3 linked regions of the Tribolium castaneum genome follow. The protein of the gene in region 1 purifies or fractionates together with the protein of each later gene. This does not show direct contact. Links are inferred from orthologs where the notes say so. Each region holds a gene or a part of one and is shown on either strand. Other genes may lie near its edges.

What was found.
Region 2: the proteins of Polr2B (region 1) and regulation of nuclear pre-mRNA domain-containing protein 1B purify together in Homo sapiens (affinity purification with mass spectrometry; 4 studies listed by BioGRID and IntAct, counting the BioPlex papers as one, with this or other methods). This does not show direct contact. The link is inferred for Tribolium castaneum from reciprocal best matches to the Homo sapiens genes POLR2B and RPRD1B.
Region 3: the proteins of Polr2B (region 1) and Fcp1 purify together in Homo sapiens (affinity purification with mass spectrometry; 3 studies listed by BioGRID and IntAct, with this or other methods). This does not show direct contact. The link is inferred for Tribolium castaneum from reciprocal best matches to the Homo sapiens genes POLR2B and CTDP1.

What each region holds. Positions count from the first base shown.
Region 1 is NC_087395.1:24,234,855-24,239,035, reverse strand, and holds the start of Polr2B (DNA-directed RNA polymerase II subunit RPB2), read left to right. Parts: upstream 1-1,381; 5' UTR 1,382-1,520; coding exon 1,521-1,539; intron 1,540-1,597; coding exon 1,598-3,756; intron 3,757-3,808; coding exon 3,809-4,053; intron 4,054-4,113; coding exon 4,114-4,181. Other genes in the region: uncharacterized protein Rsod, read left to right, coding at 19-105, 152-286, 336-891, 936-1,036. UniProt on the Homo sapiens protein: Catalytic core component of RNA polymerase II (Pol II), a DNA-dependent RNA polymerase which synthesizes mRNA precursors and many functional non-coding RNAs using the four ribonucleoside triphosphates as substrates.
Region 2 is NC_087394.1:893,130-898,896, forward strand, and holds regulation of nuclear pre-mRNA domain-containing protein 1B, read right to left. Parts: upstream 3,228-5,767; 5' UTR 3,117-3,227; coding exon 2,966-3,116; intron 2,914-2,965; coding exon 2,680-2,913; intron 2,629-2,679; coding exon 2,344-2,628; intron 1,795-2,343; coding exon 1,619-1,794; intron 1,565-1,618; coding exon 1,418-1,564; 3' UTR 1,267-1,417; downstream 1-1,266. Other genes in the region: Oseg2 (intraflagellar transport protein 172 homolog), read left to right, coding at 1-157, 214-654, 1,033-1,266; uncharacterized protein tfc, read left to right, coding at 4,353-4,428. UniProt on the Homo sapiens protein: Interacts with phosphorylated C-terminal heptapeptide repeat domain (CTD) of the largest RNA polymerase II subunit POLR2A, and participates in dephosphorylation of the CTD by RPAP2. Transcriptional regulator which enhances expression of CCND1.
Region 3 is NC_087396.1:10,631,873-10,638,017, reverse strand, and holds Fcp1 (RNA polymerase II subunit A C-terminal domain phosphatase), read right to left. Parts: upstream 3,928-6,145; 5' UTR 3,888-3,927; coding exon 3,670-3,887; intron 3,619-3,669; coding exon 3,465-3,618; intron 3,412-3,464; coding exon 3,041-3,411; intron 2,560-3,040; coding exon 1,398-2,559; intron 933-1,397; coding exon 561-932; 3' UTR 382-560; downstream 1-381. Other genes in the region: mRpS17 (small ribosomal subunit protein uS17m), read left to right, coding at 1-345; Rab2 (ras-related protein Rab-2), read right to left, coding at 4,531-4,629, 4,855-5,035, 5,092-5,407, 5,637-5,682. UniProt on the Homo sapiens protein: Processively dephosphorylates 'Ser-2' and 'Ser-5' of the heptad repeats YSPTSPS in the C-terminal domain of the largest RNA polymerase II subunit. This promotes the activity of RNA polymerase II.

The sequences.
Region 1 (4,181 bases):
TAATTTTTGCAATTGCAGAAACAACTAATTTACAATGACGGTAGCAAGAGTGACACCACGATCGAAGTCAAACTGCGGCATCCTGGGAAAAACGACCGGAATGTGGTACGTGTCTCCAGTGGTTTATTTTTAATGGTACTATTTTGAACAGACCAGGGACCATGACTGGGCCATTTACGTGAACCCAGTGGGCGTGGACGCGGCCGTCAAGACCCAGAACACGCGGTGTGTGGCCGGGGGCTACATCTGGAACCCCTATTTCACCCAACTGGCCGACCCCCTCAATGTATATTTTGCTTTTTTTTTAATTTTATAATATAATGTTCTGGTTTCAGGGTGATCTTTATCGGCAAGAGTGCGGGCCTGAGAACCCGCTCAGGTGCCACGTGGGGGACCTGTCGGCCCGTTTGGGGACCATCGACATCGGGCTCCAGCGCAAAGTCTTCACCGATGCGAATTTCCCGCTCGAAGGCGACGTCACGGCAATCGGGCGCTCCATCGTCATCATGAGCCCCAACAGACGTCCCGAACGTTACGCCTGTGCCAATATCGAGCCCGACTATGACATAATCAAGTACGCAAACATCGAAAAGCCCCCACGTTTTGTCCTGTCGCAGTTTATCGAAGAAGTGCGCGAAATTCTGGGAATCCCCGACTGGTTTTTGACCGTAGATTCGCGCAAAACCAAGTCTTTGCACAGCGACGCTTGCGTCCAGCTTTTGCTGCATTTTAAAGGACCGCTAGCTAACCGATTAGAGCAGGATTTCAGCCGATTGCTGGCAAGTGGGCGTTTAGACACCCCCACATTGTACATTCCAGGGTTTATTAATACGAAACGTAAGGTGAAAATTGCGTACAAGCAGTGTGGAGTACAAGACCCCAACGAGAAGAGTAAGTTTATGGATTAGGCGACAAAAAATGAGTGTATTTTGCAGGTAAAAAACGGACCGGATTTTTCTTTGCACGCTCAGGAAGCAACCCAGCCAAATTTGCTCACAGTCTGATTGTAGTGATAGTTTTAAGCTATTTATTGTAATGATATGACTGTTCCTAATAAAAAAGTAATATATTACCATGGAGTTTGAAATTTAGCGCCAATAATGAAGTCACGTGGTGCAATCCACAAAAAATCAAAAACGCAATATAATTAAAAAATTGGACTTGTTACCACTTACCTGACCTTTAAGTCACATTACAGATAATTATTAAATATTTTTTTGGTCGAATAGTGTAATTTAACATCGTATCTTGAAAATCTGGAGACTTTTTTGTTGTATGGTTACGTAACACTTCAAGGTCATTGCAGGAAAATAAAAAATTGGGCCGTATTTAACAAGTTTTTTATTTGTTTTCCAAAGTATTGTGTTTGGGGCTACCCCCCGAACATAAAATATTAATTTATTTCACAAAATAAGGGTTTTCTTGGGGTCCCCATACAAAGTCAACTGACACTTGACAGACGCTCAAAACTTGTGTTTTGTGCGTCTCATTTGTGCCCCATTTTTTGCAAATAATCAGCAATGTATGAACAAGACGAAGGTACGCAATCCCCCTTGAGTAGCCCCCGAGCCATTTGTAACAAAAACCGGCTTTTCAGACCAATTCGACGATGAAGAGTCTGAAGAAATCAGCTCCGAGTTGTGGCAAGAGGCCTGCTGGATCGTCATCAACGCCTATTTCGACGAAAAAGGCCTCGTCCGGCAACAACTGGACAGTTTCGACGAGTTTATCCAAATGTCGGTGCAACGAATCGTCGAAGACTCGCCCCAAATCGACCTCCAAGCCGAGGCACAGCACACAAGCGGCGAGCTTGAAAACCCCTCTCGGTATTTACTGAAATTCGAGCAGATCTACCTATCCAAACCGACCCATTGGGAGAAAGACGGCGCCCCCTCGCCCATGATGCCCAACGAGGCCCGCTTGCGCAACCTGACCTACTCGGCCCCCTTGTACGTCGATATCACCAAGACCATAGTCAAGGACGGCGAGGACCCCATTGAGACCCAGCACCAGAAAACCTTCATCGGGAAAATCCCGATTATGCTCCGATCCACGTACTGTCTCCTCAACGGTCTAACCGACCGCGACTTGACCGAACTCAACGAGTGCCCCCTTGACCCCGGCGGCTACTTCATCATCAACGGCTCAGAGAAAGTCCTAATCGCCCAGGAGAAAATGGCCACGAACACCGTCTACGTCTTCTCGATGAAAGACGGGAAATACGCCTTCAAATCCGAAATCCGCTCCTGTCTCGAGCACAGCTCGCGCCCCACGTCCACCCTCTGGGTCAACATGATGGCACGTGGGGGCCAGGCGATCAAAAAGGCCGCCATCGGGCAACGAATCATCGCGATCTTGCCCTACATCAAGCAGGAGATCCCCATCATGATCGTGTTCCGGGCCTTGGGGTTCGTGGCCGATCGGGACATCCTCGAGCACATTATTTACGACTTCGAAGACCCCGAGATGATGGAAATGGTGAAACCGTCCCTGGACGAAGCGTTCGTGATCCAGGAACAGAACATCGCACTCAACTTCATTGGGACCAGGGGGGCCCGGCCGGGCGTCACCAAAGAAAAGCGTATCAAATACGCGCGAGAGATCCTCCAGAAGGAGATGCTGCCCCACGTTGGAGTGTCCGATTTTTGCGAGACGAAAAAAGCCTACTTTTTGGGGTACATGGTGCACCGGTTGCTCCTGGCGGCTTTGGGGCGCCGCGAGCTGGACGATCGGGATCACTACGGTAACAAACGACTGGACTTGGCGGGGCCCCTGCTTGCGTTTTTGTTCCGTGGGTTGTTTAAAAACTTGATGAAGGAAGTACGGATGTATGCCCAGAAATTTATTGATCGGGGCAAAGACTTTAACCTCGACTTGGCCATTAAGACTAAGTTGATTACGGACGGGTTGAGGTATTCTCTGGCGACTGGTAACTGGGGGGACCAGAAGAAGGCCCACCAGGCCAGAGCCGGTGTCTCGCAGGTGTTGAACCGTTTGACTTTTGCCTCGACTTTGTCGCACTTGAGACGTGTTAATTCGCCCATTGGACGTGACGGGAAGTTGGCGAAGCCCCGACAGTTGCACAACACGCTCTGGGGGATGATTTGTCCGGCGGAGACACCAGAAGGGGCGGCTGTTGGTCTGGTGAAAAATCTGGCCCTCATGGCGTATATTTCGGTGGGGTCGCAACCCTCTCCAATTTTGGAGTTTTTGGAGGAGTGGTCGATGGAGAATTTGGAGGAGATTGCGCCGTCTGCCATAGCCAACGCGACCAAGATTTTTGTTAATGGTTGCTGGGTGGGAATTCACAGGGACCCCGAACAGTTGATGGCGACGTTACGCAAGTTGAGGAGACAGATGGATATTATTGTGTCGGAGGTTTCCATGATTCGGGATATTCGGGACCGGGAGATTCGCATTTACACGGATGCTGGACGGATTTGTCGGCCGTTACTAATCGTGGAAAATGGGACTTTATTGTTGAAGAAGCGCCACATTGATATGTTGAAAGAGAGGGAATATAATAACTACGGGTGGCAGGTTTTGGTGGCTTCAGGGGTTGTCGAATATATCGATACTTTGGAAGAGGAGACTGTGATGATTGCGATGTCTCCGGACGATTTGAGACAGGAGAAGGAATACGCGTATTGTACCACTTACACACATTGTGAGATCCATCCAGCTATGATTTTGGGTGTTTGTGCCAGTATTATACCCTTCCCGGATCACAACCAGAGTCCCAGAAACACATATCAAGTATTTGTTTTGGTGTTGTTTGAATTTTTTTAGTAATTAATTTTTTCCTCAGAGTGCTATGGGCAAGCAAGCCATGGGTGTGTACATCACCAACTTCCATGTCCGCATGGACACCCTTGCCCACGTCCTGTATTACCCCCACAAACCGTTGGTTACAACCAGATCAATGGAATATCTCAGATTCAGGGAATTACCGGCTGGGATTAACAGCATCGTGGCCATTGCGTGTTACACCGGTTATAACCAGGAGGATTCGGTTATTTTGAACGCGTCGGCCGTCGAAAGGGGATTTTTCCGGTGAGTATTAAAAAAAAGTAATATAGTAGAAATAAAATAATTTGTTATTTTGTGCTTTAGATCTGTGTTTTACCGCTCGTACAAGGACGCCGAATCGAAACGCATCGGCGACCAAGAGGAGCAGTTCG
Region 2 (5,767 bases), on another chromosome or scaffold:
AGCTTTAAATCTTTATTCAACACATGGAGCTCCAGCAATGCCACAAAATTTCAACATTTATAACCACATTGCTTCGGAAATGTTTGCTTTATCGGATATTTCAGGACCTGGAAGTTTTGCCGTTTGGGAACAACTCAGACAAATGCTATTTGAAATAGTTGAGTAGTTCCTAAATCAAATAAATTCACCAAAAATAACTAACTTAATTTGTAGAATGAAGGTTTAGCTGCTAATACCAACATGGAAACAAAGCTTCATTTTAGAAATTTGTTACTAATTAGTCACTATTATGCACTTCGTACAGCTTGTAGACAAGTACCATCATTAAAACCAATCGGTGTTAAAATAAGTACCGCATTATTACGTTACACTGATATAATACCGGCTGATAAAGCATTTTACGAAGCAGGAAAAGACTTGAAAGAGGAAGGTCGATTGTCGGAAGCTTTCGTTTTTTTGAATCATTATTTAGATTTGTGTGAAGCGATCGAAGAAGGTGAAGGACAACTTGTGGATCATTCAGATTTAGTTCAAACTGATTTTCCATCAAATATTCCACTTCCTGGACGTTTGTATCTAAGTGAAGACCCACGAGAGCATGATAATGTACGTGAATGGGTGCTGACAGTGAGCATGGACCAAAGAATTGAACAGGTATTTAGCACTAATAAAAATATTTTTTTGCTCCCTAATTGTCTTTACTAGCTTGCATTTGCAAATGAGGGAGAAACATACGAATTTCTATAAAGCGCGGCGGAAAAAGTTTATTATTAACCTTTAAATGTTAAAAAAATTAATCTTATTAACAGCTTTTACTTAACTCACTCTGTTTTCTGTCTGTCTGTTTTCTTTTCGCAGATCACTGCATTATCATTGTTTTTGAATTTTTCTTTCGGTTACTTTTTGTCGTTTATGGTTCTGTGTAATTCCGATTCTTGGGGGGTTACTTGTAAAAAATATTAATTTTTTAATTATTTAAATATCAATAATATACATCCTGTATAAATAGCTATTTACTTAATTTTTTTTCAGACGTTGCCTTTGGACGACAGACAGTTATACGAGAGTTGTTTACAACCAGGGGAACAACCGTGTGTTGTTTCCGGATATCCAGTCCGGAAACAAATTGTAACCTTTGCCAAGTCGAATTTTCAGGCAAATAAAGACGTTTGGTCGAAACTGAATATGGGTGCGAAAATGTCGCCCGAGTCAAATGTTTCGAATGTTTTGTCGTTTATTAACAAGTGGTGTGGGACAAGTCAATAAATCAAATTTATTTAAAAATTGTTTTCACAACTACAACTAGCGCACCCTGTGCTTGAATAAATATGCATCATAGTTGAAATGCTCTAATTAAAATTTAGCTAATAACGCCAGTCGACACTTAAACACTGTTGTGTGAAAAATCAATCACAATTTAAGGCATAAATAAATGTTCAGCTGAGGGTAATGGAGCTAAACCGTCGGTCACATTCGGGAGTTGCGTCAGATCGGGTAAATTCTGAATGTGAGATTTTAATTCGTTTCGAACACTATAGACTTTGATTAGTTTATCTTGATATTCCTAGAAATTTTAAATAAATAAATAAATAAAATAAAACAAAACACTGTTATTTACCTCTAGATTTTGCTCGGCTTGAGCCAACAGTTCTTGCTGCACCTGAAGAAAGTCTCGAATCATTGACGAAACTTTTTTGCGATGTTCCATTTCAACGGCGAGACGACTGTTGTACTCATTTAACAACGTCACAGCTTCGTTCACTTGTTGACTCAGTTTTTCGGCTTGCTCTTTATCTGATTTTAAAAAATATAAATTTTTGATCAAAGTGACTGAAGTTAAGTTGACAATACTGAATTACTACTTTGACAAACAATGTTGCCAAAGAACGCACAAGGAGCGCAAAAGTAATGCCATTTTTGACGTGATGTGATGAATTTTGTTTGTTTCTGGCTAAAAAATCGTGCTAAAATTTTCCAAAAAAGCTGAAATTGGTTTTTTTACAGCCAATTTAGTGCATTTTTGAACCGTTTAAAAAACGTGCTAACTCATTGAAAAAACAAAGTATTCACCGATTCTCAAATTTTTGTCTTAGAATTTTCGTGGATTAATTTGTGGAATATTTTTGGGTAGTTTTGACGAAAAATGAAAGTTTTTGTATTTCAAACAATTCAAAAAAAAAAACAAAAACAACATAATTTCCCATTTGAAAACTTGATTTCTTAGTCACCTTTAGCAAAATCTCTTGAAATAAGTGAGTTTTTGACTTAAAGTAAAAAATATTGTGCTTAACGTTTTCGAAAGATTTTGATGTATTGTCAACTTAATTTAATCACAAAACCAACCTTGCAAGCTAGCTATTGAGGAAATTTCGGTGACCGAAGGCGGCAATTGAGCAATGCGTTGCCGCACCCCTTCATCAGCGGACGCAATATTATTCTCCAAATCTTGGATTGCCTTGATTAGTTCTTCAGGTTCAGGGGGATCCCCAGCTGGCGTATGTGGACTTAAGTGCACATGCGTTTCCACCATTCCGTCCACTTCAACTGTAACCTCATGTTCAGACTTTTTCTTCTCTTTGGGTGCTTTTCCATCGGTTTTGACTTTTTTCAAAGGCGGCCCTTCTTTTTCTAAAACAATTTTCACAGCCCACTGGACCACCAACACTCAGATAACCTCACTTAACGCACTCCTAAAATCGCTAATTTGTGTCTCATTGTAAATCCCCCTCTCGCTCCAAATTGTTAATAAACGTTCTAAACTACTTATGGTTTTTTCCTCGGCGTCCGACATGTGCTCGAAGGCCTTTTTCAAGTGAGCCCCAAATTCCTGGCCATATTCGGGGCCCTTTTTGCGGCTGTTTTGAATTACATCATTTGCCAAGTACATAAATGTTAGTTTTTTGCTGTCCTTGGCTGAAATATCTCCAGTGTGGATTTGTAAAATTAAAATCAAATGTTTTCGTACCTTTGATCAGTTCTCTGCCCCATAATTTCACTACTGTACTGTAATGTTTTCTGTGATGGATTAACCAAAACGATAAGGTTTGTATACTTTGCGAGGAATTGTTTAAATCGTTTAGTTTTTTGATAAAAGCCGATTCGGTAAAGCCTGCCATTTAACACGGTTTGTATTTTTTGTAGAACTTAGGAAAAAAGTGTAAATATAACCACAAATATTGCTAATCACAACAAGTTGACATTTCGTGGTGGAGGTGGTTAGGGATACGAGACGTGGCGATTTGGATGTGAATAAGGTTGCGCCATTTTTAAAGATTGGAAAAAATTGGCTAAAATTGCATTTGCAATATTTTAGTTATAAATAATATGGCTAAAAATCATAAATTGTTTGCCTTTTTACTCGATTTAGGTAGTTTTTGTGCAAAACCAAGTCAAGAAGAATCCCAAAAATTTTGTTAGAAATAGCGTAGTTTTATAATCTTTGGTTTCATAGAAAGCTTCGTTAAATTTTAATTTGTTGATTGGTTGAATTTGATCATCACGCATTTAATTGCAGATTAAATTAATGACGCTTTTATAAACCGGTCCTAAAAGACTTTAAGCTCACTTTTGCGTTAAAATATTTGTTTTTTTACAAGAGTTTTCTAAAAAATTACCAAAAAAGCCGGAGATGACCTTACTTTTATCATTTTCAAACTTCTATTTAGCGCGTTTTTAAAATTTATGGAACTTTGCTAAAACAGACATAAAAATCACTATAAATAAAGTCAAAATACATATTAATTCTCTTACGAAATTCTTTGTAGAATAAATCGAAAAATCCCCAAATAAATATTTTTGCCTTTTTCACATTTTGTTTTTTTTTTGTAACTTTGTCATGCTAAAAATAGCCAAATTTGGGCAAAAATGGTGCTGTTTTTGACTTTTTTCAGTGCTTGAGCACGTTTTTGAGCACAAATCGTAAAATAAAATAAAAAATCTAGTAATTTTATGAATTTTATCAGTTCGAACCTAGTAAATTTTATTTTTGTGTTACATCGTAAAATGTTCCAGACAGTTCATTGGCGACCGTTAGTTCCGTTTTTTAATTTCAATTATTACCTACCTCTTTTTTTTGAATTTATTCAAAATCATTTACAAATCTGAACAAACTAACTGCAAGTCTGAAAAAATCAAATTCATAAAAGTAAAGTCTAATATCTATCAAGGATGTTGCTTGAAAATGAAAGCTGCAATAAGAGACCTAAACCTAGAATATTATACTCTCGTATTCCACTTTCAAGCCATAAACACTTTCCCACTGTCTGCTCTACACAGGTGCTCTCGAGTTGTCGGACAGTTTGTCCAACGTTTCGTTCGTGTCGTGACCATCTTCCGTAAATAAATGCGACAAAATGCGACCGCAAATAATCGCGATTTTCGCTTTGGTGCTTGCGACACAGTGCGACTCCGGAAACAACTTCAGAAATGGTGAATAAATATTCTACTTTACAGAAAAAAATAATAACACATTTCGTTTTATAATTTATTTTGTTTAACTGCAAATTTAGTGTGATCTGATATAGTCACATGTTGTCCTTCACTGCAACAATTCCAATTGTGATGTTATCTCGGGTATTAAGTTCATGTAAGGAATGTTGTCTGAGCATAATTTGAAAAATTCAATTTTCAAATGTGAGTACAAAAGTGAAATTTCATCAAACACTTTTGTTCTTATGTAACTTTCTAATGTCTGTATGTGCTTGTAAAAATACCAGACGGTTTACAAATTATAAAGTTCTGGTGATTTTTTTTTAAACTGTATTAACAAAAAATATTTGGTCGTTGATCTCACATTTCTTGGAAAACCGGTGAACAAACTTTTATGGACGTTTCAGTCATTATGAAAAAAGCGCTTGTTTATGTATCTGAGTCGGTGTCAATGAATAATTTATAAAATTGTGAAGATTTTATATAAGACAGTTCTGAAAAAATGGGATGGAATGTATAAGAGTTATGGAAAATGATAATTTTGAAATCTCTCCAAACAAAACTCTTCTTCTTATAAATTAAAAAACCTACAAATATTTTTAAGCATTTTTAATTGTTTTCTTACGTTACAAACACGTTTTGTTTAAAAAAAATTATGAGGGTTCAATGTTTAAAAGGTGAATAATTTGCCAAGAAGAATTTTAAAAATTACCAAATTTGTTTAAAAATAGCGTAATTTTTACTAATTTTCAAGACTTTAGGATTACTTTTGAATTAAGCCAGAAAAAAAAGATACTAAATAAAACCGAAAATGACTTTATTTTTACATTTTCTAGACAATTATTAGACATTTTTTCACATCAATGAATAATAGGGCCAAATAAGTCAAAAAATTGAGACAAAAATGACATTATTTACCCAGTAAATTACCCAGTATTACCCAGTATTTTTAAATACCTTTTCGAAAATTTTTGTAAATAAAAATGTTAAAAATATTAAAAAAAGATTTACATAAAAAAGCTCTAAGAAAAACTGGCTGAAATATCATAACATTTATAATTAAAACTGATTAAAATAAAGAATACAAAATTATTTCATTTTTTCTAGCCGAAAAATTATGCTTATTTGAATTTTTAATTTTCATTTAACAATTCATTGAAACCTTTTTTTTGCACTAAGCAAACTACTAATCATTAGACACAAGAAATAACAATTTTTTGCCTATACTCAAGAGTATTTAATTAATTAATTACATAATTTTAATTATAAGGAATTGTAGAAAAATTCTGAAAAAATTCGCAGGCATAGAGAAAAATTTTAAGTATTTAATAGAAAACGC
Region 3 (6,145 bases), on another chromosome or scaffold:
GAATTTGTGTACGCACATGATCCCAACAAGATATGCAAGACCGGAGATATCGTTCTTATTGAACAACTTCCAACCAAAATGACAAGGTTAATTACACATGCTGTTAAGAAAGTTGTATATCCGATGGGGGATATAACTGATCCGGTCACAGGGAAAAAGGTTGTTGCCGGAAAGTACAGAGATTTCGTTGATTCGGTAAACAAGGTGTATGGTGAAAAGGAAGGAGCATTTAAATATGATAAAGCACCACCAAGGGGCTGGCAAGAAGACAAGAAAGACTTCACTCATGTACAAACATACATCAAGTACCACGATTCAGGAAAAGACGATCCTTATGCCGTCTAAAACCTTTATTGTTGTTCAAGTAGTTGTATTAAAAAGTAAGTTGTCAACAGTCTTTATTTGAAACTCTGCACAGCATTCAATTAAAAATAATTACATTAACATTCTATATATATAAATAAGAATCCTTCAGCGTGAAATTATTCAGGTAACAGATTTCATTGTTACTATTAATACTGCAAGTCTAAAAAAATAATCGATGGCTTAAAAAATTATTTCTAATTATTTGACAAGAATTCTCGTTCAAGGGCGGCACCCATCATATTCCACTCTCCATCGTCCACTTCGTCTGGAGCTTCCACACTTCCGTCACTATCTTGCGAATCAGGTTCCATATCCACTTCACTATCTACAGTCTCTCCCCTTCGGAACTTGACACTAGGCGTTTCATCATCTTCTGTACTATTATTGAGATCAATTTCAGCTTCGTCCCCACCTTCTCTTTTTCTCTTGAAGCCTTTTGGATGTTCACCTAGAGAATCGTCACTACTGCTACTATTTTCGTGTACTTCTTCAGAATTGACAACAGTTGCTTTCGCGTTCTTCTCTTCGTCGCTGCTATCACTTTCGTCGTCCAAAATGTCTTCAACCTGTGGAAGAATTAAACCATCAGCGACAACCTCAAAGGGGCAACAAAGACATGCACGAACTATTTTTCTGTTTTAAATAAAGTGAGAATTTGCATCAACCAACCATTTTTTAATTACAATTTTGAACAAATATTCATAATTACATTGCCCCCAACCGCAAAAGGCAAGAGTACCAAAAAAAAAAAACGTTTGTAATTATAAAACAAAATGTCAAACTGAATAAAACTAATTGCCGACTTTCGACCAGTTTGTCAGATAAAGAAGATCCTAACTGAAGTTGGTTGAAAACAAATTCGTCGCCCTACATTATTTTTAATTGACGATTTTTTATTAAATAAAAGTCTTGGTTGCTGCAAATTTAATTAAGATTTTATGGACAACGCTTTTTTTCTATAGCTGGTACCCTAGTGTCCGGTTTAGGAACACAATAAACGTATTCCCCTTTCACCTAATTTTTAACCTTACCTCCTTATCCATATCCGCTATATCTGCGCTGGAAAACGACATGAGAGGATTAATCGTGTCCATAAACCTTCCACTGGGTGTCCTTTTTCGCATAGCGGGCGTATTGTGCTCTGGATAACTTATAATATGCTCTGGACTGCTGCAATGAGGCGGTGGATGCCGGTTTTTTGAGCCTTTGCTATTCAAAGCAAAAATCTTCTCGTCTACGTGCTCCCACCGTTCTGCACAACACCACAGCCAATCGGGTGTAACAATCTTCAAGTTCTTCTTTCTTCTGCCGGCGTTCACCTTAGCAGTGCCTGGCCTAACAGCCACCAAATGTGTCGTGTCGTCCTCCAGCTCTTGCGTAACTTCAGCACCCAAACTCTTGGCGATTTGGTACGCTTTTGATTGTTCTAATTTGATGTGAGTTGGCACCAACCCGCTAAAAACCAGCTTGTAGCCCTGTAGCACCTGACTTCGCACCCCGGGAATCACCTTCTTCAAGTCGGGAACCTCTCCCGATTCCATTTTATCATAAGCGTCATAGAAAGCTTGATGAATACGTTTTAGTATATCTTCTAGATAGGAGAGATAGTCATCGGGGTCTTCAACTTCTACTAAATGATTGTTTATTTCGATTGCGTTTTTTGTTTCCGGAGGGGTTTCAGTTTTGGTGTCCCCTTCCGTTTGCGTTTTACTTTCTTCAGGTGGAGGCTTTTCGTCATTAGTTACTGCTTCACCATTCACACCTTTAGATTCAACATTTTCAATTTTTTGTTCGCTACTGTCGTCACCGTTTTTATTTTCATCTACTTTATTATTTCCTTCACTATCTTCGGTATTTTCTTTACTCTCGTTTTTTGTACTCTCAGATTCATTTGAAACCTGATTCTCAACTTTACTTTCCTCGACATTTTCACCATTTTTCTCACTGTCATTTTCTGTCGCTTTACTATCGTTATTCTGGATTTGTTCGTCTTTTTTCTGGTCTTTAATTTTTGTTAAATCAACTCCCTTGTTATCATTTTCATGTTTGTCTAAACCAGGGGGTGCGTTTATGTCGCCGGTGTGTTGAAAAAAATGGTACGGCTTGACATGAATCAAATTTGCGGCGTTCGACCACACGTCCTCTCTGTCGTCAATAATACACACCATGTTGTCCCCGCAAGGAAATAGAGCCCTAAATATAAAAAATTATGTAACACAGCGTATCAAAAAATATAAAAAAATATTTTCGCGAACTTTTAGCACAATTGTTGTTTTAAATATCACGAAGATAGTCTAAGACTAGAAAATTAGATCGAAACTGTTACTTTAGCTTGCTTCTCTCAGTTTAACAAGTTGGTTTTAAATTTTTAATCCGATATATTTATTTATTGTGCAAGTTCGTCTTAAAGTACCTTCGATTTGAGAGTAATTAAGGCAAAAATTACTTTTAATTTTGCTTTCTTGTCCGAATTTATCAAGTTTTTCATCCTGGTCTCATTTTTGCCTTTTTTTTTTCGAAAGCTAGACCTTCTACACTCAAATATGGTAGAGTGAACATATGCAAAGTGATTCAAAAACACTTGAAGAGAAAAACTATTTACTTATGATTTTGAAAGACTCAAAAAACAGGAATAACGGAATGATTTTTCAGATTTTTCTTTTCAAATACGTACTTTAAGTTCGCCTTTTTGCTAGTTGGGTCAAAACACTCATCCCGCGAGAGAATACGATTTGAGAAAAACTTCTGGTCCCTGTCCAGAACCGCAGCAATCATATGTGCGTAATTCCTTGCGCCAAAGGTGCAAATATGCAGCTCGTAAAACGGGTAAATATTGTTCAAAAACTGATGGGTTCCGGGCCTCAACCTTGTGAAGTACCAAGGTGAATTGGGCCCGTATAACTGAAAGCGATAGATATCCTTGATGTTCGGCTGAATGTGGTCATTGGTTGTGTGGATCAAGGTCTGATCCAAGTCCACAAGCAGGACAAGTTTCCTGTCTCTAATAAGCCGATCAACGTCCGCTTTGCCGAGTTTCTGTGCAAGCTGCAACAATGCAAGTCAAACCCCCGCAGCGGCATTTTATATAACGCAACCACCTCTTCGCTGACTTTCAAGTCAGGTATGGCATGCACCATGGGCACGGAAGCCGCCACACTGACGTCGTTTTTCCTCAAATCCGTGCCGCATTCTGCGCACATGTCGTTCATCACCGTCGGATGCGTGCATTCTTTCAATTCGCACAAAGTCTCGCTGAAAATTCGAGCGTGAGCTTTCGCGCGCCTTTTCAAAACTGTTGCTTACCCTGGCTTGACAATGGCGCCTTCCTGCGCCACAATCTTAAAAATTGTTCCGGCCTGTGTTACCTTCAACTTGCGTTGTTCCACCTTGGAAGCCCCGTCAAAATCATACAGAAGGATTACTCTTCCGATCGAGACAGTGTTCCCTTCGCTCACTTTCCATTTTAAAATTTTTATAGGTTTTGTTTGTTGCTGTGATATGCACATAGTTTTTTCCGCCATCTTGCACGGAAACGACTTCACTCATGAACGCAGAACGCGGCCTGATTGGACGACGCGTGCACTTCCGGGTGCCATTACTCACGCGCCCGTTTCAAATTTTGGGTAAAACAAACACAAACTGGCAATACAACTTATATTTGATTATATTACATGAAGCTTACATAAAAAATTTGACGTTTTACAATACAAATTTATTTAATGAGATAAACACTACATTTCTTAATTAAGTATAATAGTCGCAATAAAACACATAACACTATTATCACCAATAACAAAAATAAAGTTGGTTTAAAGTAAGATGTAATGCTTCTGAAACGGCTTTTCGGTTGGTACTCTATAAAATATGAACTCAAAACAATAAATATGTGACCTGTATTGGACTAACTATACCACACTCTTAAAATAATCACAATAATAATCCTTTCATTACATAAATTAGTGGGGGCCAATATCACCATATGTATCAAAATATTTGAAAAGTTTTGTCTCTAAAGGTTGTTGAACGATGGGGTAAAGTGCAACTTGCTAATTTGGAAGATATCAGATCATTAATTTATGTAATAAACCTGTGCAGTCACTTTCAATTCTTTAATAAGGGTTTCTCTCTTACACATAATGTAACCCTCAAGACAGACAAGTCATCTTAACAGCAACTCGAACCCTGCGAACCCCCGGCGCCGCCTGCACCAGGAAGCGATGGATTTGTGGGGGAATGTTGGGGGCCAATCTTGATTCCATTTGCCTGCACAATTTCAACAACAAAATTTAAAACACAATAGTTGTGAATTTGAGTTGGCAGCACTATACGTGTGACGTCTCAAGCTGCCAACTTAATTTCAAAGTCAGAAGAAAGTATCACCAAAAATGGGGTAATGAACTTGCTAATGTATAAAATTATTGATTTCTAAAGTTTGTGTAACCTTTAGAAAATGCCAATTAGCTTAACAGAGCAGAACCGCTGATTTACCTCATTGTTAATGTCAAAGACTCCCTCTTGTATTTTCTCATAGATCTCTTTTGCTGTGTTTATAAACGCTTCTTCAACGTTGGCGGCCGTTTTTGCTGAAGTTTCCATAAAGACTAGTCCGTGTTCTCTGGCAAAAGCTTCTCCTTCTTCCTTTTTCACTTCTCTCCTACTCTCTAGATCACTGGAAGGGTTTAGTTAACACTTTTGAAAAAAAAAAAAATAAAACGGGATGAACACCTTTTGTTTCCAATCAACATGATGACCATATTTGAGTTGGAATGCTGGCGGGCATCATCAAGCCATGTAGTCAAATGGTTGAAAGTCTCCCTCCTCGTAATGTCATAAACTAAAAGAGCGCCAGCAGCCCCCCGATAGTACGACCGCGTTATAGATCTAAAAGCCTCCTGTCCGGCAGTGTCCCAAATTTGTAATTTGATTTGTTTGCCATCAATGGTGATCATTCGAGCGCCAAACTCCACCCCGATTGTCAAATCATGAACTGGCTGGAACCTCTTGTCCGTGAACTGTAGTAACAGGCAAGACTTGCCCACACCTGTAACCCCATTGTTTACTTTACGTCCGATAAGCATATCAAGCTGATTTTAATGAATGCCAAACACACTCCACCTCCCCCAATCAGAATCCCGGACAAGTTTAAAACACAAAGACAGACCTTGACACCCATCCAAGATGAATAATACAAACGAGTTATACGCAAAATACAAGAAAATTAAACGAATCGATTATGATTTTTTACGGGAATTACCCGAAGCAACACCCACCTGTGTCACCTATTATAATGTACTTGAACAGATACGCGTACGACATTTTCACCACACGAAACTATAAACTAACAACTTGCTCTAATTACTTCACGGCTTATCACCGAATTTATCAACTTCGTAAAAAGATGACAGCTGTCTGCTGAATGCATAGAATATAGTAGTTATAGAAAATCAAGTAACACGTAATTCACTGGTCGTCAAAATTTCGATAATAGCGCCATATCTTGGTAGTATGAGGAACTAAAATTGGCGGCAAATTTAAATATTTTATTATTTACACAATTAATTTAATTTTTTTATTTTTTTACAATTTAAACACACATAACCGATTTTATTGAAAATCAGTTAAATGTGTTTAATTGCAAAATTTTGTTAGTATTATAAATATAAAGAAAAAATAAATACAATGAATGAAAATAATTTATTAATAAATTAACGTTTCACAAATTATGAAAATATCAATTATAAGAAATAAATGTCGTGTTTGGCTTCCACATATTAATTTG